Arabidopsis thaliana: one gene and its partners. The protein of the gene in region 4 interacts with the protein of the main gene of each other region in a pairwise test. Each region holds a gene or a part of one and is shown on either strand. Other genes may lie near its edges.

The links.
Region 1: the proteins of AT5G43520 (region 4) and ZW9 interact in a two-hybrid assay, tested with the Arabidopsis thaliana proteins (one large-scale study listed by BioGRID).
Region 2: the proteins of AT5G43520 (region 4) and AT1G76210 interact in a two-hybrid assay, tested with the Arabidopsis thaliana proteins (one large-scale study listed by BioGRID).
Region 3: the proteins of AT5G43520 (region 4) and AT5G48240 interact in a two-hybrid assay, tested with the Arabidopsis thaliana proteins (one large-scale study listed by BioGRID).

What each region holds. Positions count from the first base shown.
Region 1 is NC_003070.9:21,611,303-21,619,716, forward strand, and holds ZW9 (TRAF-like family protein), read right to left. Parts: upstream 2,868-8,414; 5' UTR 2,788-2,867; coding exon 2,399-2,787; intron 2,184-2,398; coding exon 2,014-2,183; intron 1,921-2,013; coding exon 1,638-1,920; intron 1,550-1,637; coding exon 1,398-1,549; intron 1,289-1,397; coding exon 1,092-1,288; 3' UTR 501-1,091; downstream 1-500. Other genes in the region: AT1G58265 (Cytochrome P450 superfamily protein), read left to right, coding at 1-86.
Region 2 is NC_003070.9:28,592,365-28,599,835, forward strand, and holds AT1G76210 (DUF241 domain protein, putative (DUF241)), read right to left. Parts: upstream 3,633-7,471; 5' UTR 3,519-3,632; coding exon 2,838-3,518; 3' UTR 2,586-2,837; downstream 1-2,585. Other genes in the region: AT1G76190 (SAUR-like auxin-responsive protein family), read left to right, coding at 1-232; AT1G76200 (NADH dehydrogenase ubiquinone 1 beta subcomplex subunit), read left to right, coding at 987-1,093, 1,410-1,455, 1,560-1,616; AT1G76220 (hypothetical protein (DUF241)), read right to left, coding at 5,166-5,936.
Region 3 is NC_003076.8:19,555,016-19,563,160, reverse strand, and holds AT5G48240 (Rrp15p protein), read right to left. Parts: upstream 3,919-8,145; 5' UTR 3,861-3,918; coding exon 3,417-3,860; intron 3,336-3,416; coding exon 3,234-3,335; intron 3,150-3,233; coding exon 3,068-3,149; intron 2,961-3,067; coding exon 2,941-2,960; intron 2,857-2,940; coding exon 2,796-2,856; intron 2,706-2,795; coding exon 2,641-2,705; coding exon of another isoform or gene 2,570-2,640; coding exon 2,484-2,569; exon of another isoform or gene 2,389-2,483; coding exon 2,334-2,388; exon of another isoform or gene 2,259-2,333; coding exon 2,163-2,258; intron 2,068-2,162; coding exon 2,008-2,067; 3' UTR 1,886-2,007; downstream 1-1,885. Other genes in the region: BBX8 (B-box type zinc finger protein with CCT domain-containing protein), read left to right, coding at 48-569, 657-824, 927-1,228, 1,313-1,442; ACAT2 (acetoacetyl-CoA thiolase 2), read left to right, coding at 8,039-8,072.
Region 4 is NC_003076.8:17,482,170-17,489,608, forward strand, and holds AT5G43520 (Cysteine/Histidine-rich C1 domain family protein), read right to left. Parts: upstream 4,141-7,439; 5' UTR 4,023-4,140; coding exon 3,270-4,022; 3' UTR 3,062-3,269; downstream 1-3,061. Other genes in the region: LURE1.4 (Putative membrane lipoprotein), read left to right, coding at 2,265-2,313, 2,409-2,632; LURE1.5 (Putative membrane lipoprotein), read left to right, coding at 5,980-6,028, 6,124-6,347; AT5G43530 (Helicase protein with RING/U-box domain-containing protein), read left to right, coding at 7,158-7,439.

The DNA of each region.
Region 1 (8,414 bases), on a different chromosome or scaffold from region 4:
AATTCAGATCAAGAATTTTTAGAAAATGTTTGGGTGACAAATCATCAAGTGATATAATCTTGTTAAGTACTATTTATGTTTTTTAAGGGAATTTTGCCAATTGTGCCATATTTGTATAAATATTTTGTCGGCAATGCTATTTTTTATATCTTTAAAATTGTGCAATGAGTCAGCTTTTGACAAAGGAGAAGATGTCTAAACTACCTTTAATTGGTTATGGAGGGAAACAAAACATTTCGCCCAATGAGGCTGACACCTCTGCCAAAAGCAGTTGACGTCTAGATAAGATGATGGTGTGGCGTGGCACATTAAATGTGGACAGAAAGAAAGTTATGATGGTTGTTATACAATAAAAATGGTTGCTTTTAATACAATAATAATTTATCACTTGATGATTTGTCACCCAAACATGTAGGAGTCGACGAGAAACGAAGAAAGATGGATGTAGATAATGTATCGGAGAAGGGATGATGGACAACAATACTGTAGTTGTAGCAGTCGACGAGAAACGAAGTAAACAAAATACAGATGTCCACGAAGATGGAACCGTGGACAAGTTTTTAGTAGCAGTTCATGTTCCTAGTATATCTAACAAATCTTCAAAAGTACAGTAGTTGAAGCCGAGGACGGGAACATAAATGAAAAGTGAACAAAAAGTTTAAGCGCAGTAGACAACTGTACAACTACAAGCAATAGAGAGGAATCGATGTAGATAATGTTTATGGAGAAGAACAACATTGTAGTAATTGTATTAGTGGACGAAAAACGAAGTGAAAAGAATAATCAATTACTAAGGACAAAACTACAATTATTGAAGCCGTAGACGATCGACTAAACGATTAAGAAGTGGACAATTATAAAAGGAAATGTGAATGGATTACGTACCCAATCTTTAAATCCAAAAAAAAAAAAAAACATCCTAGGGACTGCCTCTTTCATCCTATCCAATTTGGTATTCAATATGTGAAATCAGATTGATCAAGTTTGACATAGGAAAGCTCGAACTCATTATTATTGAACAGAAACAAAAAACACAATGAAGCAAAGTGATAGTAGCCAGTTGTAAAATTACACTAGCGACGATTAGTCACCTAAGTACTATCTCCCGTTAAAACATTAAGAGACGATTGATGAGAGTAGTAGTCGGTTTTCGAGAAGGACAAGATCTGGACTTCAAGTTTGAGAGTATCGTTGACTAGGAAACCTTTTGATGTGTTTTTGATATCTGCAAATGATAGAAACCTGTCGAAACCCCATCCATTCTCCGTTGCATTGGGCCATGCCGCCACTGTGTATATAGGAAGAAATCAAAAGTTATTTTTATTTTTTAAAGGCTCATTAATTATAATTAATTAGCTTTAAATTAGTAGTAGTAGTTGACAAAGTAGATATCAAACCTTTTTTCTCGAAATTGTTGGATTGGATCTGGTCAATAACTCGTAACTTAGCTTCCACATAACCCTTATCATTTGACTGATCACTCAACAAATAGAGTGACAACGAATTACCCGTAGCATTTCCAACTCCATTTGGATACACTTTCAATGCCCTTCAATGTAAAAAACCATCATATTATTAAACTAACACATCTTGTACGTATTGTTATATATATACAAGAGGAAGAAAGTCACACGTACCAGTTTCTTCCTCCGGAAGAAAAGGAATCAGAAGTGTAAGAGTCAAGAAAACGTGTAGAGAATTTGGTGAGTCTCCATTCGAAAATAGGGTCACGAATGTTTTGTTCATTAGAGAACACTTCCCAATTTTCAAAGGGTTTAACAATGTTGATGTCAACGCCAAACACAACGCTTTCGCCCTCGAAAAAGTATCCATATGCCGGATTTTCAAAATAGTAAATTGGTAGAAATTGTAAAAGTCCCCACTGTTGTTTAAACAAATGAAATCGCTGGGCCTCAGTCTCTGCAAACGGATCAAACTTAAATAACTAGTCTGAACAAACCACAAAAGATTTAAACATATATATTTACTTGCTCTAGATTAGTTAATTAGTACCCTGGCTTATTTGGTACTTGTCTGTACTGCTTTTATAAGCGAGGAATGTGATCTCTGCATACACATCTTTTGGATTGGTGATGAGGCTTGAGTTATCGACTCTTACGTAAATCGAAACGTACCCACCCGAGTCCGTTGGAATGTATATGACTGGGTAGATTAGGAGCGTCCTTATAACATTTTAAGTAGAAATATGTCAAATTATATACAAATTAAAATTTGGGTGAGATTCAGAGCAATAAGTTAAAATCTTTCACATAGAAAGTGGAGATGATCAAAACACTAGTATATAAATGAATACCCTTTGACAAAAAAAAATGTATATCTTCTATGTATAAGGTATGGTTTCTCAACATTTTTGAAATGGAAGTCAACGCGTACGTACCAATTGTATCCACCGACGGAGAAAGGACGTGACTCATACTTGCCACCGTTTTCTTTGACCTGCTTTGCCATAGTGACAAAAGACTGGAACTTCACGCAGTACGAATTTGGAGGACGAGTTCTCGTATCTGTTGTTACTGCTTGCGAGAGCTTCTGTTCATCATGAGCACGAACAGAGGCAGAGCTAGGTTTTGACGAGCCACACGGAAGATTCCCTGAGTTCCCCACCGCCATGAAACCTTCTTCTACTACTGCTTCCGTCTCAATTAGGTTTTGAAGGTTGATATAAGGTTTTGCGAATCTTGCAACCTCCACAATGAGTACGAAACAGAAGAAGCAGTAGACAAAGATTGAACCATAATTTCTGCTTTTCTTTTCCTCTGAATACATTATTTCTTTTTCTATATTTTGTGTTTGTAATAATGTCTTGTTTTATGTACGTATATATAGGCATAATGATAATATGTGTCACGAGATTCACGTTTATTAGTGATTAGTTCTCAGTAATACACCAATCTCATGAGATCGTTAGTTCTCAGTAATACACCAATCTCATGAGATCGTGACACGTAGGTATTCACTAATTAATTAGCACGTTCTACGACATATTGTTTTGTTGGGATATACGTGTCTCACAAAATAGTAATTGTTTTCTGCTGCATCATTATTTTAACTTATAAGTACAAGAGCAAGTCATAGTGGACAACTTCGTGTTACGCACGTCTCAAAGCAGCTTAAAAAACCCATTGATGAGATCTCGATTCGTACCAACTACCAGACACGATTCATACTCATTAATGTTACTAGAGATTTGATTTTTCAACAAAACAAAAAAATAATAGATATTATCTGAATTTAACAGATTATAGTTTTTTTTTCCTTTATTTCACTATCAGTCTCTGTGTACACTATGGTTGTTATTTTTTATTGAATGAACGTGAAACACCATTTTCAAGTTCATCGACAGAGAGATTCGGAACAAGACAAAGGAAGCATTTCGGAAACCACATACAACTTTGGATTAGATGAATTCACTGTTGTGTCTTCTTTGTTTATTTGTTACCTTTGTCTTTATTCTTTTTTGGCAACGCTTCTCCCGGGCCGGCTCTGAAAGAAGCAACATGAAACATTTGTATGTTGTCTCCATTTTTAAAAACTTTTTTTTACAGCAAACCTGATTTATAAATAGGCTTCCAAATATATTTAGTTCTAAGAAAAATATATCCAAATTTCAAAACAGTTTATAATAACCCCAAATATATAATTTGTTACTTTGGCCCCCAAATTTTGACCGGTCATAGGTCTCTCAACCCCTATATACATTATACATCATGTAATTCCAAAACTATTATATATATATATACACACTATTTCATTAATATTTACATTTATATATAATAATAATAATAAAAACCATGACAAAGCATCAACCCTTACCATATCCATAAAATATATTACTCTTGCGATTACCTAATGACATCTATATGACCCTATCGATTTAATTGCCAGCGCGGTATAACAGTGACACCAATAATTCACACTACCAATTCAAAATCAATTCCCGATAAATAAATAATTGAAACCAAAATATTTCAATACTAGATTTTAACCCGCGGTACACCGCGGGGACAATTTATATTTTAAAGTTAATATATATAAAATTTTGCAAATTGTATCTATCTATAAAATATTTTTATTTTATAATTTACAATTGTTATTAAGTAACGTTCTGCCAAACCCGTCACGCCAAACCCGTCCCGTAAAAAAACCATTATTTTATTAATGTTAATCTTATTTATGATATGTTTATGAATTATTGTCTAAATATTTTAGTCGATGTGGGACGTTGAACTCAAACATTTTTCGCCAATTGGTTAATATATGTTTATTTTTAAAATTTCGAATCACAAATTATGGCGGAAAGAATAGAGATTTTTTTAAACTTTATATATTATATAATGATGTTAAAAAATTATGATATATTAAACTTTTTATAATTTTAAATATTAATAATGTTTTATAAATTTAAAATATTTAAATAATTATATTTATTTATTTTATATTTTGAGCCTTTAAGGTAATGACATAATAACTCTAAAAGCAAGGATTTAGAAGATTTAAATCTTTAATTAAATATTTTCATTCCTAAATAATTAATGTCAGTGTCATGAGATTGTAAATAAGTTCAAATACATGATTTATTTATTTAAACAAAAAATGTTTAGTAAGAATAATATTTGTTTTAACAAAAAACTTTGTTTTAAAATATTGTTAACAAATATGTTTATGCTAATTTTAAGGGTTAAATTTGATTGATAATGTGGTTGACAATTTAAATCAAGTAAAATTAATTATTTTGGAGAAAAGATTTAATGCTAATGGCATTGAGTTGTAAATAAGTCCAAATTCAGGATTTATTTGTTAAAATGGCTGCAAAAATGTATATGTAGATTTTTTGAAAGAAGTGATTGAAAGAATATTTGCTGCAATGAAAGACTACCAAATCGACAATAAGAACAGGTAGCATTAGGCATGATTCATCAGGAGCAAATTTTTGCTTTACAAAAACTAAAATCTCTAAAGCAAAACTCAAACAAGAAAGAAGTTAAAACCCAAAAAAAAGGGGAAGTAAACCTGGTACTAAAATATATTAAAATGGAACATAATAATTTTTTTAAAAAAGACTCATAAACTCTAAAACTGCAACTCACAATTTAGGGATTAATTATGGGATTGACACAATTAAGTTTATATCTTTATGAAAACAGACATATCTCATATGCCTTATAGATTTAAGTATTTTTCTATGCAAGTATTTTACGAGTTTACCCTTACCACTGAACCTACAATGGTGATTGAGCTCCTGCAACAACAACGATTTTGACAACGGTAAGAAGCAACGGCGGTGACTCATGAATCATGTCTCGTGATGAAAAAGACGGCAAGATCTCGACCTCCAATTAGCGTTGGCGACGATGGTGAGTTTCAACGACGATGGTGAGTTGAGCGATAGTGAGAAGCGAAGGTGATAGTTTGGATCTCTAGAATTACTTTTCCAAATCCTCTGTTATTAGTTGGTGACGATGATGATGAACTCTATTGACAATAAAAATCAAATTTGGTTTAGAATTAATAATGAATTGGAGTGTTTAAGATTAGAACCCAAGGGTTCCCTAGATAGTATCCCTTTAGGGTTTAGATTTCTTCAATCAAAAATCATTTATTTTGATTGATTGGGTTAATCAGAATAGACATGTTGGCTGGAAAATTTTGTTGAAGACGATGGTGTTGTTAATAACACTATGAATCGTCAAAATCGATGTCTGGACAATGGTGTTGAAGACGATGGTGTTGAAGACGAAGGGCAAAAGCGTCATATTTGTTGCAAACATATGCCCAAACCTATAAGCCCATTCTAAATGTTCCTTTTTTCTAATTATTGGGCCAAAATGTTCCTATTTTTACAAAAGCCCCCACAATTCAATCCAAGAAAACTCCCACATACCTTCCCATCAAAGTAGTAGACGCCGGAGCTGCACAAAGAGGAAAGTCAATTTTTTCATATCCAAACAAAGTATCAGTGTTCAATTTATACCTAACAGTTTTCTCTTTACTAATATATATCTAACGTTTTAAATAATTTAAGTTCCAATACATGAATTTATCCAATCATGCAAAATCATACATCATTGATGACATGAATGTCATGTCCTTGATAACGTTGGTGACGTGGATGTCACGGTTTTGATGACATTGTTACCACGTCATCATCTTGTTAATAATAATAAAAATTCTTATTCTTTCCATCACTGTTGTCCGACAGAATTATGAAAATAATATTCTTTTTGATGAAAGGATTTAAAATCTTATTTTCGAGATTTATAACCAATATTTCAACCAAATATAATATTTAAACCAAGTTTGGAAATCTAAAATTCACCTCTTCTTCTAAAAATCTTTGATCCACAGCCTTGAGAACCAACATCCAAACAAAATCCAAGGATCGGCTGATCCACAGAATGCCCAAACCCGAGCTCCAAAACAAATATCAAAGTGCCACACTATTTAACTGACCAAGGCAAGAGGAAAAAACCTGAAACTCCGACAAGGTGATACTCTAGTAAGACTAACATCTAGAAAATGGAGCCGTTCGAAAACCTAGCTTCATCCATCTATAAACAAAAGGTTGACCATCTTTCTTAAGATAAGAACTGAATATCAATCCTAATGCATCGTATTGAGACCAATCCGGCCCTACTCCAAAACATGCACAGAGGAAGGCTAGTAGATACCTCTTCACCTAATACCATCTCATAAACGCATCCTAATAACGAACATGGGAACAAACCCTCAACAATTCTTCTGATCAATCCACTCCGACTGAACTGATAAACACACCCAAGAACATGATAACAAAAAAGCTAACTCCAAGACAGAGGTATGTATAAGTATCGTAACAAATATGCATTTAAACAAAAAAAAATATATATATATATATAACAAACTGCATAATAAATGCAATATTAACTATATCAATGCACCAAAAAATAAATGCAATGGTTATTCTATTTACTATAAATTTCTTTTTACATCTTTTTAATTTAGTGTAACTTAAGAATTTGAAAGATTTTAACCTTTTTTCTCACTCCTTTTTCATTTGAATTTTCTATAATTACTTTTTGATTTTTTGAATTTTGATCTATTTGTTTGTTCTTCTCTAGTGAAGATAGAGACTCTACGACCACTAGTTAATGACAACAACCAAACCAAACCATACCATATGAGCTTTGTTGCCTCATATCCAGCTACCTATATAGCAACTAGTCGTAACAATTAGATATCAAAATTTTTAATCAGCGATTTTCCGAGCAATTCGTTTTAAAATATTGATTAAAAATTATAAAGTGCAGAAATGAAAATTATGATCCTTGATGTGGTATAGAACAACATAATAAATTAATTGTGATTAATTTCTCGTCTCTTATGTTGCAACTTAAGTCATTCTGCTTCCCGTATGTTGCTACTTTCCTTTTTGTCACTTCGTATTAATTAAACAATGATTGCGAGAGATGGATGTTTGCATTGGAGAGTGAATCATGGATAGCTTCAAACAATGTCATTTATAGAGCCCAAGAAGATTCTTCTTTGTGATAATTGCGATCAATTATGCACAATCATGAGGCCATATGAGGTGTAAGCTTTGTGTTATTTGTAAGAGACTCTCTCGTAAATTTCAAAACCGGAGCCTCTTGTTTCAATTTACTACCGGCTCCTCCTTTTGCGATATGGCAGCCGAGAGAAGTCTCTTCCCCATGAACTATTGTTGGCATAATCAAGCTCCACGAATTTTTCAGGGTCATATGCATTCACCTTTACGTTCGTAATGAGCAGGGTCATATGCAATCACCTTTATATCAAACTTGCTGACAAAACCCGACCCTAATAGCTTGCTATGACGAGGACGTGATGTTTTGCTACATTTTCTATAGATGTTACAACACTTGTGTTTTAACCAATCATTCCCTCAAGGTCATACCGTTTTCATCTCACAAAGTGATAGTTAGTGTTTTATTATCATATTGTCAGTTTTTATTATGATTGACCAAGAACATCTGAACATGTAGCCTCATGCTTGTTGGGGTCTAGATCGTGTGCCTATTCAAGCTGATGGTGATGGAGGGACATGGTAGAGAACGGCGTCATAGAGGAAGACGTTCTCGTGTGGTGAGATATCTCGTTCATAGTCATTTTGTTTTAAGGTTCTCCCAAATCTTAAAACGTTTTACTCAACATTTACAACCACATGTCGAGCTAGACTTATAACTACGCCTTGGAGCTGGTCCTCCTTGCCAGCCTTACCAAGCTGGAGGTTAACATTGCTGGAATCAACAATAGCTTTTATTTAGTGGCGGGGCTTCAATCAACAATAGGTTATGTCCATGTCAGAAGCCTTGGATGAGAGTTAACTGGACTTGTCAATTGTTGTTCATGATTGGAAGTGACATTGTGGGCATCCA
Region 2 (7,471 bases), on a different chromosome or scaffold from region 4:
GTTACAGGTGCTATTGCAAATGGCTGAGGATGAGTTTGGGACTACCATTGATGGTCCTTTAAAAGTTCCTTGCGATGGAAGTTTAATGGATCACATCATCATGCTTGTGAGAAGGAGCATGTCCCATGATTATGATGATGTGGAGAAGTCTTCCACGAGCAGCACCTGCAAGGGAGCTTCAATCTCTTCTCTCTTTCGTGGACAGAGCCAGCTTCAGTCATTAGTTTCCTAACCATTTGGAGTAATTGTTAACTTTTTTTGGAGAAGGGTTGTTCTATTTTGTGTATACCAACATGATCTTGTAATAAATTAATTATTGTAATGTATCAATGATACAGTATCATCATTTGATTTTGAGTCTTTTTTTGACGGTTAAAACAACGATTTGGGACGAAGTTATAGGCCCTGAATGGATGCTGATTTTGGATTCAGTTTTTGAATTTAGATTTTAGTTTATAGATTTTAGATTTTAGTTTCAGATTTTTATTATTATATTTTTGTTTCAAAAACCCCAAAAAATTGGTTTTTGGTTTTTGAGAAAAATAACGTTGATTGAGTAAAAACTAGATTTCCTAAATTTTAGGAGAACTAAAAAACTAAAATCATGAATGGAAAACTACAAGAAAATAATTTTTCTAAATTGTAGGGAAACCAAAATTTTAAAATCTTGATTGGTATGAAAATAAGTTTTTGGAAAACAAAAACCAAAAACTCTTACAAAATCTACAAAACATTCAATTCATGTATCCAAACTTCTTAAAGGGCCCAAAAAGGAAGAAAACATTGTGAAAGAAACAGATATAGAAATGGGCCTTTGGTCTTTAAATTGGGCCTAAGCCTTTTAATTGAGGCCTTACTAAAAGTGACGACTCACATGGTTGAATCAAATCTCAGGTAGTAAATTGTCAAAGCTGAGGAGAAAGAAAGCTTTTTCGGTCTGAAATTGAAGTGCGAATCGGGGAATCTAGGGTTTCGAGAGAGAGATAATGGGTGGAGGAGGACATGGCGGAGGTATAACTTACAAGGGAGTCACTGTCCACACTCCCAAGACTTGGCACACCGTCACCGGAAAAGGCTTGTGCGCCGTTATGTGGTACATTTCTGATTTCTCTCTTTCACCTAATTCGCTTTTGATTTTGGGACCTAGCTAATCTCGATCGTAGCTAGATCTCGCCATGGGGATTTTGGGCTAATTGATCATCTGAGGAATTTTGTATATAGAATCCATTTGAATCAAAAAATTGGATTTGTCAAATTAGTATCGGAGCTAATCAGGTAGATGTTAATTTGAATCAGATATTGCTTATGTCAATTTCAGTTCGATGAGAATGGTTGAAGAAGTAATCGCACATAGGTTTTAACTTTCCCTAGCATTCACATCTTAAAAACTCAATTTTTGGTATTTTCAGGTTCTGGATTCTGTACAGGGCAAAGCAAGATGGTCCTGTAGTTATGGTAAAACTCTTTCATTTTTTATCTTTGTCTCGCTTTTGTAAATTTTATTGGTCCTAATATCTTTCGTGGTGGCTGAATCTGATCTTGCTATTGGCAATGGATAGGGATGGAGGCACCCTTGGGATGGTCATGGTGATCACGGTCACGGAGATCATCACTAGGTAATGTCTTTACTAGTAGTATTGTCGATGGAATCATTAAGAAAGATGATTAAAAAATCTCCTTTTTCGTAGTAAACACGCATTATTGTTTATACCGTATAGCAATTCCTCAATGAAGCTAATGTCTATGCATAATGTAGAGTAGCATTTCTAAGTTGTCACTTACTAACAAGATCTCTTGTTAACTGCTATCTAGTTGGTTTTGAAGAAAGATGATAGCTTTGATCTGGTTTTGGTTCATACAAGTGGTGAAAGTTTAGAGGATCTTTAACTTCTCTATAGGATGTTCTTGATTTATATCTACTAGAATGAATCATTGAAACTCTCGGGAGTGAATGAAAATTGAGTGCCTTTATTGTGAATGTTTGTTATTAGTTTAGTGGTACATGTTTTGAGTTTTCTCTTTGTTTAGACATTGATGATTTGTAGTTATCCTCGAGTTCACCTTTCATGTAACCATATAAGCATTGCTCAAACTACTTGACACTAATCTGGTTTTGGGTTTTGCTGCTAGGTCTCACTGAACCTTTGAAGATCATGACGAAAAAAGGATCGTCTCTTGTTTTTTTCTTAATTTTCAGCTTCATATGTCGAAATAAAGAGAACTGTGAAGAAGACGTGAATTGTTTTTGTACACAACTTTGTAAGACTTGCTGCTTCTGTTTTAAGTTACTACTTGTGTGTTGCACTTCCTGATCATGTTGTTATTTTGCTGTCAACAAATTAATTTGAAATAAAACGCATTGCGAGATTCGTGTTTTTAGATCCAGCCTCCAATGATACGAATTACAAAGAAACACTAGAAATTAGTTATATTCGCTGTGTTAAGTATACAAATTAACACTTACGAAACTGAATTTGTTAATGGTTTTTATAACTATATCTGAAAACCAAAAAAAATATGCAAAATCATCAAATTGAAAATGTCTATTCTAGCAACATGAATTGTGAATAAATAAACAAACATCTATAATTCAAATTTTACTTGAATAACAATTTCATTTTGACTCTATTTTTGGTGAAGACAAAAAGTGTGCCTTCAACTTCAAGTCTTTAATCCAAGTAGCCAGTTTAGGAAACGGGTAAAAAAATAAATTATATAGAATAAAAGAATTTGATGTTGCAAACTTGAAAATAAGTTTACAAATCAATCTATTTAATGTTAACTAAACATGTCCGCTTGAAGCAAAACCTAACCGATCCGGACATATCATATATTATCTAGTTGGTGAGAATATTAAGAAGTGAAACTCTCGTCTGAATCAATCGCCGGAAAATAGATTCCAACTCTATTTCAAGCTCCACTACAGTAATCTCCGCCGCCTCCAACCTCGTAGTCGCGCTTTGCACCGCAGTCTCGTCCCATTCATCATCTAACAAATAGGAAGACCGAATGGAAAAGATCGAAGACAAAGACCCTTTGCTCGATCTCTTCTCTAGCCAAGGAATACAACCAAGTGAGAACAAAGACTCAACCATCGTCACAACGACTCTTCTCACTTCCTTCAAAACTTCTGTGACAAACAGAAGGTTCTGTTCTATTGGCATGGCCACTCTTCCTTCGTTTCCTTTCATGTTCTTCAAACAGTTTAAGCATTTCAGTGTCTCCTTCTTGAGCTTGTTCTTATACCGATTATACGCAGCTATCTTCTCGTTGACATCAGATGATTCGTTGCCACGTAGAGTCAGTTGTAGATCTTGCAAGCTGTGTTTCACGAGCGTCATCACATCTTTGGATACGTTACAGATGTCTAACATCCTCAATGAAGCTTCTGAAACTTGTTCCGTCCATTTCTCTTGTCCTTGTTGAGACAGAGATTCTCTTGTTTTCGGACAGTGATGGAGGAGATAGTTTACGCAGTCGTGTAGCTCTCTCAAACCCTCAAAGTTAATCTGAGCCATAGATAGATCTTAATCTATTCGAGATACTTAGCTTTATGAATGTAAAAAAAGAATTTGAAAAGGTATTTTTTGATGTAATTGTGAATGGTTTTTAGGGCTTCTTGAGAGTTTTAAGCGAAGATTAGAGATATATTGAATGTGTGTAAGAATGAGATTATATATAGAGGTTAAGAAGGATCTGAGGGAAAGTACGATGAAGGTTCCCAAGTTTGGGTTTTTGTACGGACGTGGGACATCCGGGGAACAGCTCATTTTGGAGGTATTATCAAAACAATGATTTAAATGATTCAAAACATGTCACAAGGAACCTTCTTTGTACGTAAGAGGCACTCGTGGATTAGGGTACATTGTGGATTCGTTTAGATTTTCAATTTATAATATATAGTTTTAAAGATTTTTATTCTAATATATAGTCTTAAGGTTTAATTATATACTATATACCATGCATGCACGAGCGACGGTGCCAGGCTGTGTTGGTAAATTGCAACAATTTGGAACAGACGGACGAATATTAAATGAGATGAGAAATGTTTAGATTTTGGATCAGACTTTAAATATTATGTTAAGGGTTTGTCAGATATGTTTTATGTATCAAGTTAAATGGATATATTAATTACCAACAAGAAAGTAATATAAGTCTTACAGTAACAGAAAACAAATAATGGTAACTACTTGATCAATATGAATATATGATCAATAATCATTTTAAAACCGGAACTTATCTTTGGCAATACATGCGATTGTGACATTGTGTTACGTGTTAACCTCTCAATATATGTTTCTGGACAAGCGAAATATTCACAGTTTCACACAAATACCAATATACCTTTTCTATAACGTGGACAGTAATAATACGCATACATTAATACATATATGTTTATATGTCTAATTTCTCTATCAATCAGGTAACCACCTCGACGGCTCGACGCATGAATACATCCTGGATTAGATTTTATGTTTAAGATCTTTATATCTCAGGTTATTTTCAACAAATTAATATCTTCCCACAAATTATATAATTAGATTCATATCCCTCCAACTCCAAATGCTGAAATGCTTTCATTTTTATTATGTTGTTAGTGCAGCAATCTTATTATTCGATTTCCCGTTTGGAAGGTATAGCTACTAATTATAACGAATAATCAACCATGCATTATATTTTCTCTGTTGTCATCATCATGTAGAGACATTATTGCGTGATTAAAAAAAGAGAAATAAGAAGACATTATTGCGTGATTATAAAAACACACAGAGAAAATAAGACATTATTGCGTAATTTCTTTAGCTATTTTTTTTGCAAACAACCCATCAAACATAAAATAAAGCCCATGAAACTCAATTAATAAGCCCATTATCTCAAATTCATCCTTACTCTGTTTTGCAACAACTTCTGATAAGAAAACTGATACACTCATCAGTCTCATGATTGTATAACTATAAACTTATGAAATATTCATAGAGTACTGAAGTGATCTGCTGATAATTGTTATCTCGAACTCGTATTCTTGACAAGTAATCGTTTGAATATGATTTAAGAACGCTGCACACAAAGTTTTACAAGTTCTAAAGATCAATATGATCTGAGAGACTTTGCCTAAACTAAAGCCAACAATACTTCACAATGAACAAAATTACATCTATACAATCTCAAAGAGTAAGCATGTTAAGAAAAGAAACTCTTGTCTTCAACAGTTTCTTATACACACACTCCAACTCTTTCTCTGTTTCTTCAATCTCATGTTCTGTTTCTCTCAACTTCTTCAGCTCATCCACATCAACTTCTTGATTCTTCTTATTAAAAATCCTCGACACAATTCCTCTCCTTGATCCTTTCTTTTGATCTCTCTGATCCTTCGTCACTACCTCAATCAACAAAGAAACCAAAACATCAAAGCTGGTCTTTTCAACTCTTTTCATTACATTAATGACATCTCCACAATCTCTCTTCCTCTTCCTCATCTTCTCCTCTGTTTTCTTCAATTGTTTGACGATGGTTCTGCTCAGTGCTCTTCTCTTAAACACGTACGCGTCTGTCTCACGCGCCACGAAAGCTTCTTGATCTTCTCCTGACTTGCTTCTGATCAATCTCCTCCTCAAGCTTGATTCGAGTTCCCTGACTTGTTCCTTTATCTCCATCAGAACGTCTCTGATCGTGCTGCAGATATCAAGAACCTCGATGAATCCGTCAGAAACATCTTCAAATCCTGTGAAAGACTTTTGAGTTTTAGTCGTTTGAAAACGGAGGAAAACTTCGACAACCTCGTACAGATTCTTTAAAACTCCAAGTTTCCGACGAGCGGACTCTGGTCTTTTCTTTAGTAACAGAAGATGATCTTCGATGGCTCGAGACAGAGGATTAACGTCTTCGGACCAGCTTGTTGAACGCACGTGTGCACCAGATGATGAAGTACAAGCCATGGCTGATTCACTCTATAGAGATAATAATGTATAGTCAACGAATGAAAAGGTTTAGCTTCTCATTAAAACGTACTCTCACCAATATATATGTATGTGTCTCTATGTACATGCATGATTAAGTTTGAATATACATATACTTGCACGTAGAGGTAAGTCAATAGGTCGACGAATATAGATACAGGCTGGAATTGGCTGTTGCAATTAAGTTTCTTCCGACAGTCTAACGACAAATCTACACTCTTCTCCTTCATGATAAATTTTCCCTCTTTTTTTTTTTGGCTTGGCATTAAATATTCATATATGGCTGAAACAACCAATTAATCACATAGGTGAACATGCTGCTTAGCAAATGATTTTCATGCAAGATCATCATGGACAATAACATTCACACGGATAATTTCTTCTTGATTATTTTGTACATTTTATTTAGGTAAATATGTGAAGTCTCTCCTGAATATCTTTTTTTTGTATTACCTTGATTTAACAACATGATGAGCAGTAATTCTTCTCTAGGTATCAATGTAATAGTTAAACAGAAAAAGACCAAATATTGAGGGGGGATCGATAAAAACCTGAAATGATCTTACTTCCAAATTTCAGTTGCTTATACTGATTGCATGTGCGGCAACCTTGGATGGGCTGCGGAAATACGAAACCAACAAGAAACAATAACCGTTGGCTGCGAAGTCGCTCTCGTAATCTCTGCAACGTTTATTATAATACCATTGGAGATTTCACAGATTAAGAAATGTCCAAATACCATTTGTATACGATATACACGCATACATGTAATATAATAGTTTTCCAATTAGGGGAAAGCTGGGAATGTGCACGAATGGGAATACTTCTTAAACTAAACCATCAACCAAGTTGGTTTCGTGACAACCTGGATGTGTTTTTATAAACGTCATGGTAGATCATAACATTCCATATACATCTATTGCTATTGTATAACTTACAAAAAAAAATAGAGCCTATTTAAACCAAAATAATAATAATCTATTTATTAACTAGGTGTTATCCACGCTTACATTTATCTAAAATTTGTAATTTAAAAAACAAATAATAAAATAAGACCAGAATATGCAATACTAATGATGTGGTTTCATGCTGAGTTAATTAGTGTGTTAATATATCAAATTTAAAATTTATTGTTCTTGAAAACTAAACTAATTATTGTATAGTTGAAACAAACTACAATTCATAGATCATTCTTGCTATCGTTATTATCACATAATATTAATGGATCGGAAGAGATTGTTTTAAAACGATCAAAGTATATGAATTGCTATTATTATTTATTTTGACCTATAGGGAAAATTATACATATACACAACAGACCTAATACAAGGAAAAAGGAAATCTAAAAAAGGAACACTTGTACAACAAATTATATACAAATATGAGTAAATAGAGATATTCATGATAAGAATGTGAGACTACAAGATAAGTAGATAACCAATACTACAAGGAAAAGGAAATCTACAAAAAGGAAACTCTTGTACGACAAAAAATTATACAGATTACGAGTTAAC
Region 3 (8,145 bases), 2.1 Mb from region 4:
GAAAGGAGCTTGCTTTCTTCAGTGTGACGGTTGAGATTGGTTGAAAGATGGGTTATATGTGTGATTTCTGTGGTGAACAAAGATCAATGGTGTATTGTCGATCTGATGCAGCGTGTTTGTGTCTTTCGTGTGACCGTAATGTTCATTCTGCTAATGCTCTATCGAAACGTCATTCGCGGACTTTGGTATGTGAGAGGTGTAATGCACAGCCAGCTTCTGTCCGGTGTAGTGATGAGAGGGTTTCTCTATGTCAAAACTGTGATTGGTCAGGCCATGACGGCAAGAATTCTACTACTACTTCACATCATAAAAGGCAAACCATCAATTGTTATTCTGGTTGTCCCTCGAGTGCCGAATTATCCTCGATATGGTCTTTCTGTATGGATTTGAATATCTCTTCTGCTGAAGAATCCGCTTGTGAGCAAGGAATGGGTTTGATGACTATAGATGAAGATGGCACAGGAGAAAAATCTGGTGTCCAAAAAATTAATGTAGAACAGCCTGAAACCAGTTCGGCTGCACAAGGTATGGATCACTCTAGTGTTCCAGAAAATTCATCAATGGCTAAGGTATTTTAACATGATTTTCTTCATATTGTGGTAAGATCTTGAAAGCAACTAGCGTCTAAATGTTTCTTATTATTGTACTGGTTGTAGGAGCTTGGAGTATGTGAGGATGACTTCAATGGAAATCTCATTTCAGATGAAGTAGACTTGGCTCTTGAGAACTATGAAGAACTCTTTGGTTCAGCCTTCAACTCATCAAGATATCTCTTCGAGCACGGTGGAATTGGAAGTCTTTTCGAGAAAGATGAAGCTCATGAGGTTTTGTCAACCTTCTTCTTCTATCTGAGACTAGTATCACTAAAGTTAAGGATGATTTTTTTCTGTGATCCTTATGCTCTTTTGTGTGTTTTCTCAATTCAGGGCTCAATGCAGCAGCCAGCATTAAGCAATAATGCATCTGCAGATTCGTTCATGACTTGTAGAACCGAGCCAATAATTTGCTATTCATCAAAGCCAGCACATTCGAATATCTCCTTCTCTGGCATCACTGGAGAAAGTAATGCTGGAGATTTCCAAGATTGTGGGGCGTCATCGATGAAGCAGCTTTCAAGGGAGCCACAACCATGGTGCCATCCAACAGCACAGGACATTATTGCTTCCTCACATGCAACAACACGTAATAACGCTGTTATGCGTTACAAGGAAAAGAAGAAGGCTCGCAAGTAAGTATAAACGCACACAGAAAGGAATTTAATTCATCATTGAAAGTTGTTATAGCTAATATTTAACATATTTTGTATAAATAGGTTTGACAAGCGAGTAAGGTATGTCTCTAGGAAAGAAAGGGCTGATGTGAGACGGCGTGTGAAAGGACGGTTTGTCAAGTCCGGTGAAGCTTATGATTACGACCCGATGAGCCCAACAAGAAGCTACTGAGGATAAAACCTCAAAACAATGAAAGATCACAAAGTGGAGATATAAGACAGAGATGCAACTAATTGGCAGCGATGGATCTGGAAGCCATTATTGGTTGAAAAGGAACACGAGTTCTCCGCCTCAAAAGCGTCATACTTGCTTAGAAAGGCGCATGCTTCTGCAGTTCTGCCTCATTTTTTGCATAAAGTTTGTTATCTTCTTCTGTCATTTGGCATCATGACTTGACTGTGAAACTAGAAACTCTTCTACAGATTCAGGTTCATGATCCTTAAATTTTGTCCTATTATAATTTGTGTAGCCAAGGCAAAACAACGAATGTATATTTTTTTTACGTCATATAAATAATAACCATGTAGAAGTTTGGAGTATCATCACTTCTATATTTACGGTATTGGTTAATGATACTAACAAGTGTATTTTCTAAAAGCGTAACCACAAGAATCACAACCTTTCAGGATCCTTTTGCACTATCAAAAAACTGAATTCATTCATATTGATCAGACAAAATTTGCATGATACAAAGGCAAAATTAAAGTTTGCTCGTTTAACTACTAGTTTAAACTCTTCAGTCTTCATAACTTTCATCTCCTGACAAACCGGCAAAATCATCTCCCTCGCTTGTTTCCTGCGGACAATTCAATTTTAAGTTTCAGATCAAAGAGTATAAATCAGTATGCAAGCTATGTGATTCCAGATTTGTGGATAAGAATGAAGAGATACCTGTTTCTTGTCCCAGTCCTTCAGTTTTGGGTTTGCTAACATGTAATTATCTCGTAGAGGAGCCCAAACAGGAGCTTCGTCTTCAGATTTGTGAGCCTGCACCATCCAACAGAATATCACTAGTTAACTAACCAACAATACTTTAGACTTATAACTAACGGCTCTCGCTACTGAAGGTGATCCTTTCTCTATAGAAGCCAGCTCAAGACAGAATACTAACTTGCTTCTATGTTCATCCAAAGTTGAAGGCTTTAAGAACATTCAAAATTGTTACTAGTAATTTACTAAGAATACTTCTGATTTATAACTAACATCTATCACTCACTCATGAGGTGATTCTTTTCGTGACTCTCTATAGGAGCTAGATCAAGACAGAATACTAACTTGTTTCTACGTGCATCAAACGGCTAAGGAATAAACTCTCAAGATAAATCATAATGAAAGAGAGAGAGTAAGAGATATGGAGACTATGCCAAACCTTGGTGTCTGTTTTTGTTTTCCCTAACTCAGACAAGAATGCTTCTTTTCTTCGCTTCTTCAGCACTGATGGATGTTCCAATAGGATAAAAAACGAGAATTAGAAGATAAGAACAAGACAGTGGATTCATGCCAACGATCAATTTCTAAGCCTACCTTTAGCGTCTTTAGACCTTGAAGGATTCAAACCCTTCTGAGCATGTTGAGCCTTGTTGACCTATTTGAAAAACATAAACTAAGAATCATACGAATCACTACCGGAGAATAAAAACCTCAAAAATAGACATAGAAACAAACTTACAGCATTGAAAAGCTTGACCACTGTGATACCACAAGTTCATGGAGAGGAAAAAAAGAGTCAATACTAAAACAAAAAAAAAAAACCAAACAATCTCAAGAAACAGAGAGTTTAACCAAAGCAACAATACCTCCTTTAGTAGCAACACCAATAAGAATCTTTTCATGAGAATCCAAATAACTTCCAGGTTTAACATGTCCCTTCTCAGCAATCTTAAAAAAGCAATTGTTAAGATAAATCATCATCTAAAACACAAGAACACAAACGAATAGTGAACACAACAACCAAACTCATACCAAATGTTTAGCCTTTCTAGCTTGACCTTTAGCTTTCTTTTCAGCTTCATCTTCAGCTAGCTTCTCTCCAATAAGATGCTTATGTGCTGATAAAACTGGGCCCTATTACACACAACACCAACACAGTTCAACACTATATTCCCAAATCAAAACTCAAAACTAGAATCTGCTATAAAATCTCACCAATGTATCATCTCCTTTAGTCTTCTTCATAATAGCTTTAAAAGCGATTTTGAAAGCATTACATCCATCAGTAGCAAACTTAGTGATTCCAGATTCAATCTCTCCATGATCTTCACCATCTGAATTCTCATCATTATCTTCTTCTCCAATCTCTTCGTAATTTGGTCCCATGTTAGCATCAGAGAAGATCTTCTCACGAATTGTTACTTCTGGTTGTTTCTTCGATTCATCATCTTCTTCTTCATCGTCATCGGAATTGTAATCTCGTGCTCTCTTCTGAAATAGCTTTTGATTCTTCATTGTAACCTTAAACCTATCGGAAGTAGAAGGTTTTGATTTTTGCTTTTTGTTCCTCGCCGCTTTAGTACCTTTCTTAACGCCGACTCTTCTCTTTCTAGAGCCTCTATCTGCCATCGCCATGTGACCTTCTTCTCCGGTAGACATGGCTTCGTCGAGAACTTTGGGTTATCACGGCGGCGAGAGTTTGGGGGAGAAGAGACGAGAGATAGGGTTTTGTTATTGCTTTCTTTAAACCTTGCTATAAGGGAAAATGTTTTCGGATTCTGATTTCCGGTTAAGGTCAGGTTTGTAAGTTGGATTTGGGTTCGAATTTGAGATTTCGGTTTAGGTCGGGTTTTGTCGTTTTGATTTCTATTGATAAATAATGGTTTCCACATGGTTAGCGACTTAGCGTCGGATATAAGATTTGGCCGCGTAATCGGTTCTTGACCAAACTACGAGGCTTGAATGGTTCAAATGCAGACTGCTGAAATTTATGGAAACGGAGAGTTGCGGTTTTAAGAGTTATCATATATTTTAAATGATTGATTTAGCGGTTAAATTTTACGTTTGTTGAAGTTTTATAGTTGGTTAACTAGCATGTGCGATAACGGTAAATACAAAATACCAAAATAATATAATTTATAATTTTAGAAAACTGAAAAACACCAAATTTTTATATTATTATGATTTAATGTTAAAATTTTAAATATAACTAATGATAAAACCATTTTGAGGATCTCAAGCTTGATAAAAAAATTGTCATGAATGAATATGTGTCAATTGATGAAATTTATAATAAAATATTATATTTTTTTACAAAATATAACTAATAAAAAAAAGTATTACATAATTATTCAAAAACAAGTAAATTTCATATTGAAATGTTTATTCATCAATTTGATTCATCACCAAAAAATGTATCATGTAATATGATATACTTCAAACAAATATGTTTGAATAGTAGATATTTCAGATTAACAATATTAGTACAATATTTATATTTGTATCTCGCCTTTTAACAGTTTGATTGACGTCATGATTTTGATGGAAAAATAAGAATTTAGAGTTATGAGAATTAACGTTAACATATAGGGTACAATAAAAAGAATCAGTTTTTACAGTTTTGAGAATTCACGTTACAATTTTTAGAATTTTCAGCGACCTTTAGTTATTAAAAGTATGTTTACTTGCTTTCTTAAATACTTAGGTAAACGTAATGAAAAGAAAAATTATATTTATTCTTTACACAGAATCATATGTAATTTCAGTTCTGTTATGAAGCAAGTTTTTAACCTTTGTGTATGTTCTTCTACGCACATCATACTTGTTCTTGAATTGTTTATCCCATGAATATCTCTTCCCAAATTTTTCTTCAAACTATCTCATGATGGACTCTTTTCCAGTTATATTTAATCTCGTCTTTCTTCTATTCCCTTTTTCCTCAGCAGTACAAAGTTGAAGAAAATATCAACACTCTTCGTCCGACCAATTCTAAATTCAGGAAAAAACATCCAATTCTCAATCATACAATTCTATAACATTAGAAAAAAAAAAGAAACTTACATCATCGTTGTTCATCTTATCAAGTAAGTGACAATCTTAGAGGAAGTAGCAAGTAAGGAACTGTCAATTGCCACTGAAAAAACGAAGAAAGAATGTATGTCAACACAAACTTGTTCCTTTACACTAAGAAACTAACACAAATGTCAACACAAATCTAAATGAAAACAAGAGGATTTGATCTTATTTCTCGTTTGGGTGCAAATTGAAAGTTTAATAAGCGACACAAAAGCAATACAACATGCATCCCTTTGATAAGATTTTAGAAACAACACTTCAGTTCCAGCTCCCAAAATCTGAACAAAATGATTGTGATTTTATACAAAAGTGCTTCAAAGAATTCAAAGTTGTGAAAGGAATAGAACAAAAGAATCCTGATAAAAAGAATAAGTTTTTAATAACTATTTAATCTATTTCGAGATAGAAAATTTGTCTCATCCTGTTCGCTAAGTTTGCGTTTATTTGTTGAACTCAGGTCAAAATTGGGGTTTAAATCAAGTTTGGATAAGGAATTATCGAACAAAAAATAAAAGTGGAATAAAAATCTTTGTCAAACAAACTACAATTAGTAGAGCAACCCAATCATTGTTATAGAAATAGCTCATTAACCCATGTGTTTAGGTTTCCATCAAAACAGATTCATAATTTGTGTGATAAGAAGAAGAGAAGTATTTTTAGGAGTTGCCTCTCGTAGAAGTCTCTTTTTTTTTTTTTTTTGGTGAGATCAATCAAGGAACCACTTTAATCTTGATGACAATCCCAATATTTTATTCTTTTCTATTTCTTGCACAATAAAACTTAACTAACTATCTTATTTTCAATTTTAGATTTTTATGTTAATAAGTTTATATGAGCACAAAAATGGATAAATGTTTGCTACTTATACGAAAGAGATGTCATCATCTAGTCACACATGCATACTTTAAAAATGTCTTGTTAGCTACACTATATATTGTTATAACATACCGACATACACAAATAAATATAAGTTATGTTGCCAATACCATAACCATTCTACTTCGGTTGTCAGAATTATGCGTTGACCGATATTTTATTTTTGATAAACAATTAATAAATAATTATAATTTGCCCTTAAACAGAAAAAAAACTTTGGCCTAACTACAATTTCATTAACTTAGAGTTTAACTTTTGTATCAAGGGAAGGTACAATAGAGAGTATTTAGTAGATTGCTTTTTCGTTCCCAACAACCTATTCCATTTCCAGACAGAAAATCAATCCCCATCCTAATTCACTAAAAAAAAAAATCAATCTCCATCCCATTCGTGTTTGTTAGTTGAATTTGGGTCGTAATTTGGGGTTGAGTCGGATTTTAATAATTGCATATCGAATAAAAATTAAAAATTGGAATCAAAATCTTGGTCAAACAAACTGCAGTTATTGGAACACTTAATCATTGTCATAGAAGTTTGTCCAAAATAAAAACTCATTGTCATAGAAATAACTTATTAGCCCATATGTTTAGGGTTGTCATTAAAATAGATTTATATAGATTTGTATAATGAGAAGAAGGGAAGTTATCTTTAGGAGTTGCTTCTTGTGTTAACTCTCTCTTCTTCTTTTTTTGCTTTGTATGAGACCAGTCAAAGAACCACTTTAATCGTGGTGACAATCTGAATATTTTCTTCTTTTCGATTTCTTGCACAATTAAACTTAATGAACCATCTTATTTTCAATTTTAGATTTCTACTTTAACAAGCTCATATGAACACAAAAATCTATCTTGGTTTAGTTTGTCCCACAATAAATTTATTAACTTAAGAAGACTCAAGAGTTTAACTTCTATTAAGGGAATGTACAATAAAGCTATTTAGATTTCCTTCTCACCCAATTATGTCTATCCATTTGGATTAAGTGTGGGAGAGAGTATTCGTATTATCCATTTTAGTATATTACTTTTCCAAACAAAAATCAAAATACCCAAAAAATTAGAAATATTTATCTTAAAGTAGAATGTTCTCCAAATACATGTCCCAATGTGGAATTTCATTACATAAAACTTTTGAACCTAATTTAGAACCCAAAATTTTAATCCCGTCTTTGAATCAAAATAAATTGAATAATACTATCTTTTACCATCCGAATTATTTGTTTCCAATGTTTACCCTTTAACTTTCGTCCCAATCGCCGACCCACCCACCATATATTAAATGAGTCAACAAACAACAAATAAATATATTTAAAATAGAGATTTTGTGTAAATAATAAAGATTCTTTGTGCAAATTATATCTTAAATAAGGATTTGCGTTTTCCACAAAACAAAATAAATAAAGATTTGCGTAAATAACAAAGTTTCCAATTTCCATGTGCAATTATTTTCAAATATATATTTGCTATCAATGATGATTTATGTAGAAGAAGGGGTTGATACAGTAATTTAACAATAATTTATTTTAAAACATTTAAAGAGTTTGAAGTACAGATAATTTTTATTTTATTTTTTGAAAGACAGATCATATAGCAGTCGTGTTGCTCTTCATCGTAGTTATCGTCGCTGATTCACCAACAACAACAACATCACAAGAAAGCGTCCTCTTTTATAGGACCCTCTGTCCCTGTTTCTCTCTCCAGTTTTATTGTAGAATTCGCTGTCATTTTCACAACGACTCACTTCTTTCAGCTCTCTCCATTCGGCGCTCTCTTCTGGAATTGAAGAATCAAGGTAAATGATCCCACATAGATCCCAAATGTTTATAGGGGATCTGGTTCTTAATGAGATTGGTCCCTTGTTGACTTTTGACACCATTTTGTAGATTAGCAATGGCCCATACATCAGAATCTGTGAATCCTAGAGGTAACAAAACACTTTCATTAGTAAACTGAATTTGAAGGATGAATTTTTTTTTTGATATATGAATGTTGATGAA
Region 4 (7,439 bases):
TGCTTAAATAATCCAGAGCAAAACAAAAGAAAAACAAAATCCAAAACGATTCACAAAAATATTTCATATATTTTCTTTGTGATATTGGTTAATTTCTACCAAGAAATGAAGTTGCCTTTTAATTCTTAATTACTCTATTAATTTTTGTTTCTTCATGTAAGTCTAAATTATTTAATTAGGATAATGTGTCAGTATTATAATCATTACAAAACCAGTTTAAGAATTTGATATATCTTTTGAAAATTTGATAGGTACATCAATACTTATAAATGAATCTAGTGATGAACAGAGAATATATTCTTTCAGTCCAACAACAAGTCCTTTTGATCCACGCTCACTGAACCAAGAACTTAAAATTGGGAGAATTGGTTACTGTTTTGATTGCGCAAGAGCTTGTATGAGACGGGGTAAGTATATTCGTACATGTAGTTTCGAAAGAAAACTTTGTCGTTGCAGTATTAGTGGTATTAAATAAGGCATTGTAACTTTGTTAAACATTAATAAAAAAACAAATTCTATTACTGTTTAATGTTCATCTATGCCCTTCTTTTTATAATAATGAACATGTATAATAATCTAACAGTTTTGTAGTGTGCACTAAACATGAAATTTATTGGGAAACATAAGTCCATGACAACTAAATAAATATTTGAAAAAAAAACATATTCAACATAACCAAGAAAACTGTTAGTTTTTTCTAAACATTTTACATTTAAACAAATTTCTTTAGCTCATCTTTACTATAAATCTATTTTATTATATAAAATATGGTTTTCAAAGTTTTGAAAGAGTCAAAGTTTTTAATCACCGTCACATTTCAACATAGATAAGGTTCCAATAAGTTTAATTATTTTGCATATTTACCTAAAATCTTCTGAGTTATGATAGACAAAATTAAAGAAAATAAATCTTCAAATCAGCTTATATTTTTTCTTCTTCTTCATATTGCAAAATAAACAACATACACACGAGTGTTTATGATTAAATCCACACAAATAAACAAGAACCAAACAAGAAAGAGTAATATATCTATTGTCTCAACTAATATACTTTGACATAATTGAGGTTTAAATTCTTCCATTAGTGGTGTTTTACAATTATTCTTGTGTCATGGTGTTTATTATTTCTTCCATATCACTATAAAGATAACTCCTTACAAAAGGGAAACGTTGCTAGTTAATGATAAAATTACCTATTAAAAAAAAACTTTTAAATCTATTCTCGGATCACCTAAGAGAGATAGAAACATGTATCATTGCACTAGTTGATTTGCTCTTTAATTTGGAAATTACTACATTTTTCGTTATTAACAACATAGAGCACTCAATAAAAAATCCTCAACATTAAGATTGTGAGAAAACATTGGAGATTTTAGTGGGCTGTGCAAACAAATTTGTAACCCTAACTAGACCAGCTATAATGAAATCTTTAGATATACTGATGTCAACAACTATCACAAAATAAAAATCTAGCCATGGGTGTTTTGTTCGAGTTCGGGTACCCGAAATATCGAATATTCTGATAAAACAATTGGTTAAATTTAAAAAAACTTTGCTTAAATTTTGATAAATATAACTAAGAATGTTCATATAATTTGGTTATTATTGGATATTTTAGTTATTTTGATCTAAAAAATAATTAATATTTTTGGATTTATAATTGTAATATTGGATCATTGGCTTACATCCAGTCTAAAAATAATTAATATTTTATATATATAATTATATAATGGTACCCATTCAGTTTGTGGTTTGGATTCGATTCTTCAGATATAGAAGTGTAGGATTCATTGCGATATTTCTTAGTGCTTGGTTTGGGGTTTAGTATATATATAATATAGAAATTATTGATCTTTTCAATCAAATTCTATTATATATAAGTATTAGTTCCTCGAATTAAGTATTTTAAATAAAATGTGGGTATCAATAGTAATTTTTAAAATCTAAAGTTTTAAACCGGTAATTGTATGCACTTATTAGATATATATTATTATTTATACCAATATATAAGATATTTTAATAACTAAATAATTATAATTTAAACATAAAAACAAACGAAATAAGTTACTGAACTTTCCTTTATAACAAAATAAAACGTTTAAATGAAATTAACTCTTTTATAACATATTTATCTACTGAGTCTATAAATATGACTAAATATTGTTTAAATAATCCACAGCAAAACAAAATAAAAACGAAATCCAAAACGATTCACAAAAACATTTCATATTTTTTTTTGTGATATTGGTTAATTTCTACCAAAAAATGAAGTGTCCTTCTATATTCTTAACTCTATTAATTTTTGTTTCTTCATGTAAGTCTAAATTATTTAATTAGGATAATGTGTCAGTATTATAATCATTACAAAAACTGTTTAAAAATTTGATATATCTTTTGAAAATTTGATAGGTACATCAATACTTATAAATGAATCTAGTGATGAACAGAGAATATATTCTTTCAGTCCAACAACAAGTCCTTTTGATCCACGCTCACTGAACCAAGAACTTAAAATTGGGAGAATTGGTTACTGTTTTGATTGCGCAAGAGCTTGTATGAGACGGGGTAAGTATATTCGTACATGTAGTTTTGAAAGAAAACTTTGTCGTTGCAGTATTAGTGATATTAAATAAGGCATTGTAACTTTGTTAAACATTAATAATAATAAAAAATATTGCTGTTTAATGTTCATCCATGTCCTTCTTTTTACAATAATGAACATGTATAATAATCTAACAGTTTTGTAGTGTGCATTAAACATGAAATTTATTGGGAAACATAAGTCCTTGACAAATAAAAAAATATTTTTGAAAAATTAAACTTATTCATTATAATCAAGGAAACTGTTAGTTTTTTTCTAAACATTTTACATTTAAACAAATTTATTTTGCTCATCTATACTGTAAATCTATTTTATTATATAAAATACGGGTTTGAAAGTTTTTTAAAGGGTCAAAGTTTTTAATCACCGTCACATCTCTAGATAAATAAGGTTCCAATATGTTTGATTATGTTACATATTTACCTAAACCTCTTCCGAGTTACGATAGAGAAAATGAAAGAAAACAAATCTTCAAATCAACTTAAATTTTTTCTTCTTCTTCATATTGCAAAATAAACAACTTACACACGAGTGTTTATGATTAAATCCACACAAATAAACAAGAACCAAACAAGAAAGAGTAATATATCTATTGTTTCTTTATTTTTGGAAACCATATTTCGCAAAGAAAAATATCAATATTCATAAATATATTCGTCCCTTCTTGATCACCAATAGTATCTACGTTTTGGTTCATCCCACAGATCAAGTGCAGCATTCCTCGCATCATTCTCAATACGTGCCTCTAGCTGCATAGCCGCCATCTCGTCTTGCGCCTTCATCAACGACTTTATCCTAGAAGCTGGAGAACTCGCTTCTCCTTCTTCGTCTTCATCTTCTTCTTCTTTCCCTTGGTCTTCATATGCCGCACATGAGTGTAGATGTGTTCCATAGTCACAATCCTTACAGTAATACATCCATAGATCTTCTGAAATAGTTTCATCACAAGCGCTGCAAGTGAAGTACGTGTCTTCACGTCCTTTACACGGTGTGCAATAAAGAAGAGTGAGTGGATGTTCATGATCTTCACGATCTACGGTTTCAGGGATAAACGCACATCCCACATGAAGACTGTAGTTGCAGTTTGAGCAATGGTAAGAAAATCCAGATCCGTATTGGTCACACGCGTCACACGTGTAGACAGACCGATCATCTGGTGGGGAATGAAGCAAGGTCAGAGGGTGGTCCTGGTGAGACTTGTTATTGGTCTCACTAGGAAGGTCGAAACATGACTTGTGTAAGAAGTAATCGCACTCTGACTTTATACATTTGAAAGCTTGCCCGGTCAGCTCTAGCTCGCAGCCAGAGCATGCGGTCTCATCCTCTTCTTTGGCTTTAAAGACACGCAGCGGATGGTTGTGACTTGGGTGCCTCACAGATTGGCGATTAACCGGTTTGGCCTTTGGTTTTCTTGAAGCCATTTAGTATGTTATTGATTTGTGTTTGGTTTTGGTTGTTTTGAGGGAGAAGGGTGTGGAACTTTATATACCAAAAACTGCAAGAGGACTTCATTATAATTGTAGGTTTAATGAGTATGCGTTTCGTTTTATTGATTATATTAATCAAGTTGTCATTGTATTATGCTATTTCGCTAATTATAAGGTTTGACATCTGTATAGGAGACTTTGACATTTGGGATTCAAAGTTTAGGAAATAAAAGTATTTAGACGCGCTTTGGTGTTTATTATTCTAAGATTAAGATAACTTGTAGAAATAAATATTCTAATTAACATCCGAGTTTTATAGCAACTAGGGCATATCCGCATAATATATATATGTGTGTGTGTAGAGAGGATAAGGTTTAATGAGGTCAACGTCTCTAAGTCTATGCTAATTATTATCTAATTTATCTTGTGCAACTTCCATTTGATAAGGTTAATTGGTTTAATATAGTTTTGAGTAATATATTGTCGGTTGTCTCCCCTCTTCTCACCAAAAAAAAAGGTTAATTGGTTAACCATAGTTTTAAGTCTTAAAACAAACGAAAACTTCTGTACAGATCAATTCCCTACCAAAAAAAAGAAAGCAACAAGAAAACAACATGCATAGATCAAATAATGTGAATATAAACATTCAAGTGGTGCTTCAAGTGATGATGTAGTGAGTATTCTATATAAACTACATGCAAGCATCATTATTTATTTATATTTTTCTTAAAACTGTATCCAGTTCAATCAAGGGAAATTAAGAAATGCTAATATATATGCAAGATCTAAATTTCAAATATGGTTGGAAATTTGATCATGTATTGGAATATTATTAAAAACTTTGACGGTTTAAAGATAGTGTCATCCCCGTTAGAAAAGTTTCAAATCTATGCAGTTTCAGGTATATATCTTTAAAAGTCGAAAAATTCTTTTTCTGATTTCGTTATACAAGAGTCTCCAAGTTTATCATCATTTATTACTAATTTAGATATTGAAGATGCTGCACAAAAAGTAAAAAAAATTGATTAATACTTAAGGGTTTTTGTCACTTAAATCTCTTAGTTAAGGGTTTTTTCATTAATAATATAGCTGAGGGCTTTAAAATGGATTTATCGATACTTGAGGGGTTTTTTTCGTTTAAATCTCAAAAACTTGTTTTTTTCTTTTTTTTTTGGTAAAACAATCTCAAAAACTTAATACCAAATCTTATTAATAATCAGGTTACAACTTAAAAGACTTTTGTTTATAAGACTTTGAAGAATAATTTGTTTCTATAGATAAAAACTGAAAGGTGTTTGTTCAAAAAAAAAAATGAAATAAGGTGATTTAAAGATTTTCTTATTAATAAATAATTTAAGCAATTTATAACTAAAAGATATACATATGTAGAAAGAGTTTGGATTGATTCGAGGCATATAAGAATTTAATTGATTTGGTCATCTTTAAGATCATAAGTATTAATAAGGAATCCAAAAGTGATTTAAGATTTTGTTAGAAAAGCAAGATAGGCATCATGAGTTAGTATATATATAATATAGAACTTTTTGATATTTTTAATCAAATTATATTATATATTTATTAGTTCCTCGAATTAAATATTTTAAATAAAATGTGGGCATCAATAGTAATTTTTGAAATCTAAAGTTTTAAACATGTAATTGTTTGCACTTATTAGATGTATATTACTATTTATACCAATATATAACAGATTTTAATAACTAAAAAATTATAATTTTAAAACAAAAACAAACGTAATATGTTACTAAATTTTACTTTATAACAAAATAAAACGTTTAACTGAAAATTAACTCTTTATATAACATATTTATCTACAGAGTCTATAAATATGACTAAATATTGCTTTAATACTCCAGAGCAAAACAAAAGAAAAACGATTCACAATAATATTTAATATATTTTCTTTGTGATATTGGTTAATTTCTACCAAGAAATGAAGTTGCCTATTATATTCTTAACTCTATTAATTTTTGTTTCTTCATGTAAGTTTAAATTATTTAATTAGGATAATGTGTCAGTATTATAATCATTACAAAAACTGTTTAAGAATTTGATATATCTTTTGAAAATTTGATAGGTACATCAGTACTTATAAATGGATCTAGTGATGAAGAGAGAACATATTCTTTCAGTCCAAGAGCAAGTCCTTTTGATCCACGCTCACTGAACCAAGAACTTAAAATTGGGAGAATTGGTTACTGTTTTGATTGCGCAAGAGCTTGTATGAGACGGGGTAAGTATATTCGTACATGTAGTTTTGAAAGAAAACTTTGTCGTTACAGTATTAGTGATATTAAATAAGGTATTGTAATTTTGTTAAACATTAATAAAAAACAAATTATATTACTGCTTAATGTTCATCCATGCCCTTCTTTTTACAATAATGAACATGTATAATAATCTAAAAATTTTATAGTGTGCACTTAACATAAAATTTATCTGGAAACATAAGTCATTGAAAAATTAAAAAAATGTTGAAGATGACATAATTGGCGCGGATCCTCATTTGTAATGACCAGTTAGAGTAAAAGAATCCAAACCTAAAATACAAATCAATAATCAAATATTGGATGTTATACAAGCTATGGAGCAATTAAAGAAGGCAACACGAATAAAATATTTGGGTCGAATCCAGTCCTTTGGATTGAGAAAACTGAAGCGAATTAACCGAAAACTCAGAAATCTAAAAACATTAACTGAATTTCAACAAAAAAAAAAAAAGAAAAAGGTGTTGGTAGATTTTATTTTTATTTAAAAATAGCAGATATCCGAACCAAATAATTTTTTATCATAATTTCGGTAAGATTTTTGAAAAAGCAAAAAAATCGATTAACCAAATTCGCTTACCTAATTTTAAGGTTTGCAAAAGGAAATACTCTAAATATCCTGCAAAGAGGCAAAATTTTACACATAAATTTGGTAAATTAACGGCGAGATTTACAGTAATTTCGGCTCCAAAAAACACCCCGCCAATTTTATTACCAAACCCATTCACTTCAATTCGCGCCAAAACTAGAATCCCAAAAGACCAATTCCTATTTAAAACCCCTACGCCCCCCACTCTCATCCTCCATTTTCGCCTCTCTCTTCCCTCTCCTCCTTTCTTCCCAAATGGCCATTGTTGATGACGCAGAGATGCGGTTAACCGAATCCGAAGCTGTTTCGAGTTCCGATGATCGTAAGATCGTTGCAGATACTCCCGATTTTATAGACGAATCCTCTCTAGTCATCAGAACAACCACTGGAGTCCGAATCTCAGCTCTACCGGCGGAGCAAAGCCTTGTTGACTCCGATGGATCTAACTCGGAGGTTACGCTTCCGGCGAAAGACGAGGTAATTAGTGATGGTTTTACTTGTGTGAACAAAGAGATTGTAGAATCTGATTCATTTAGG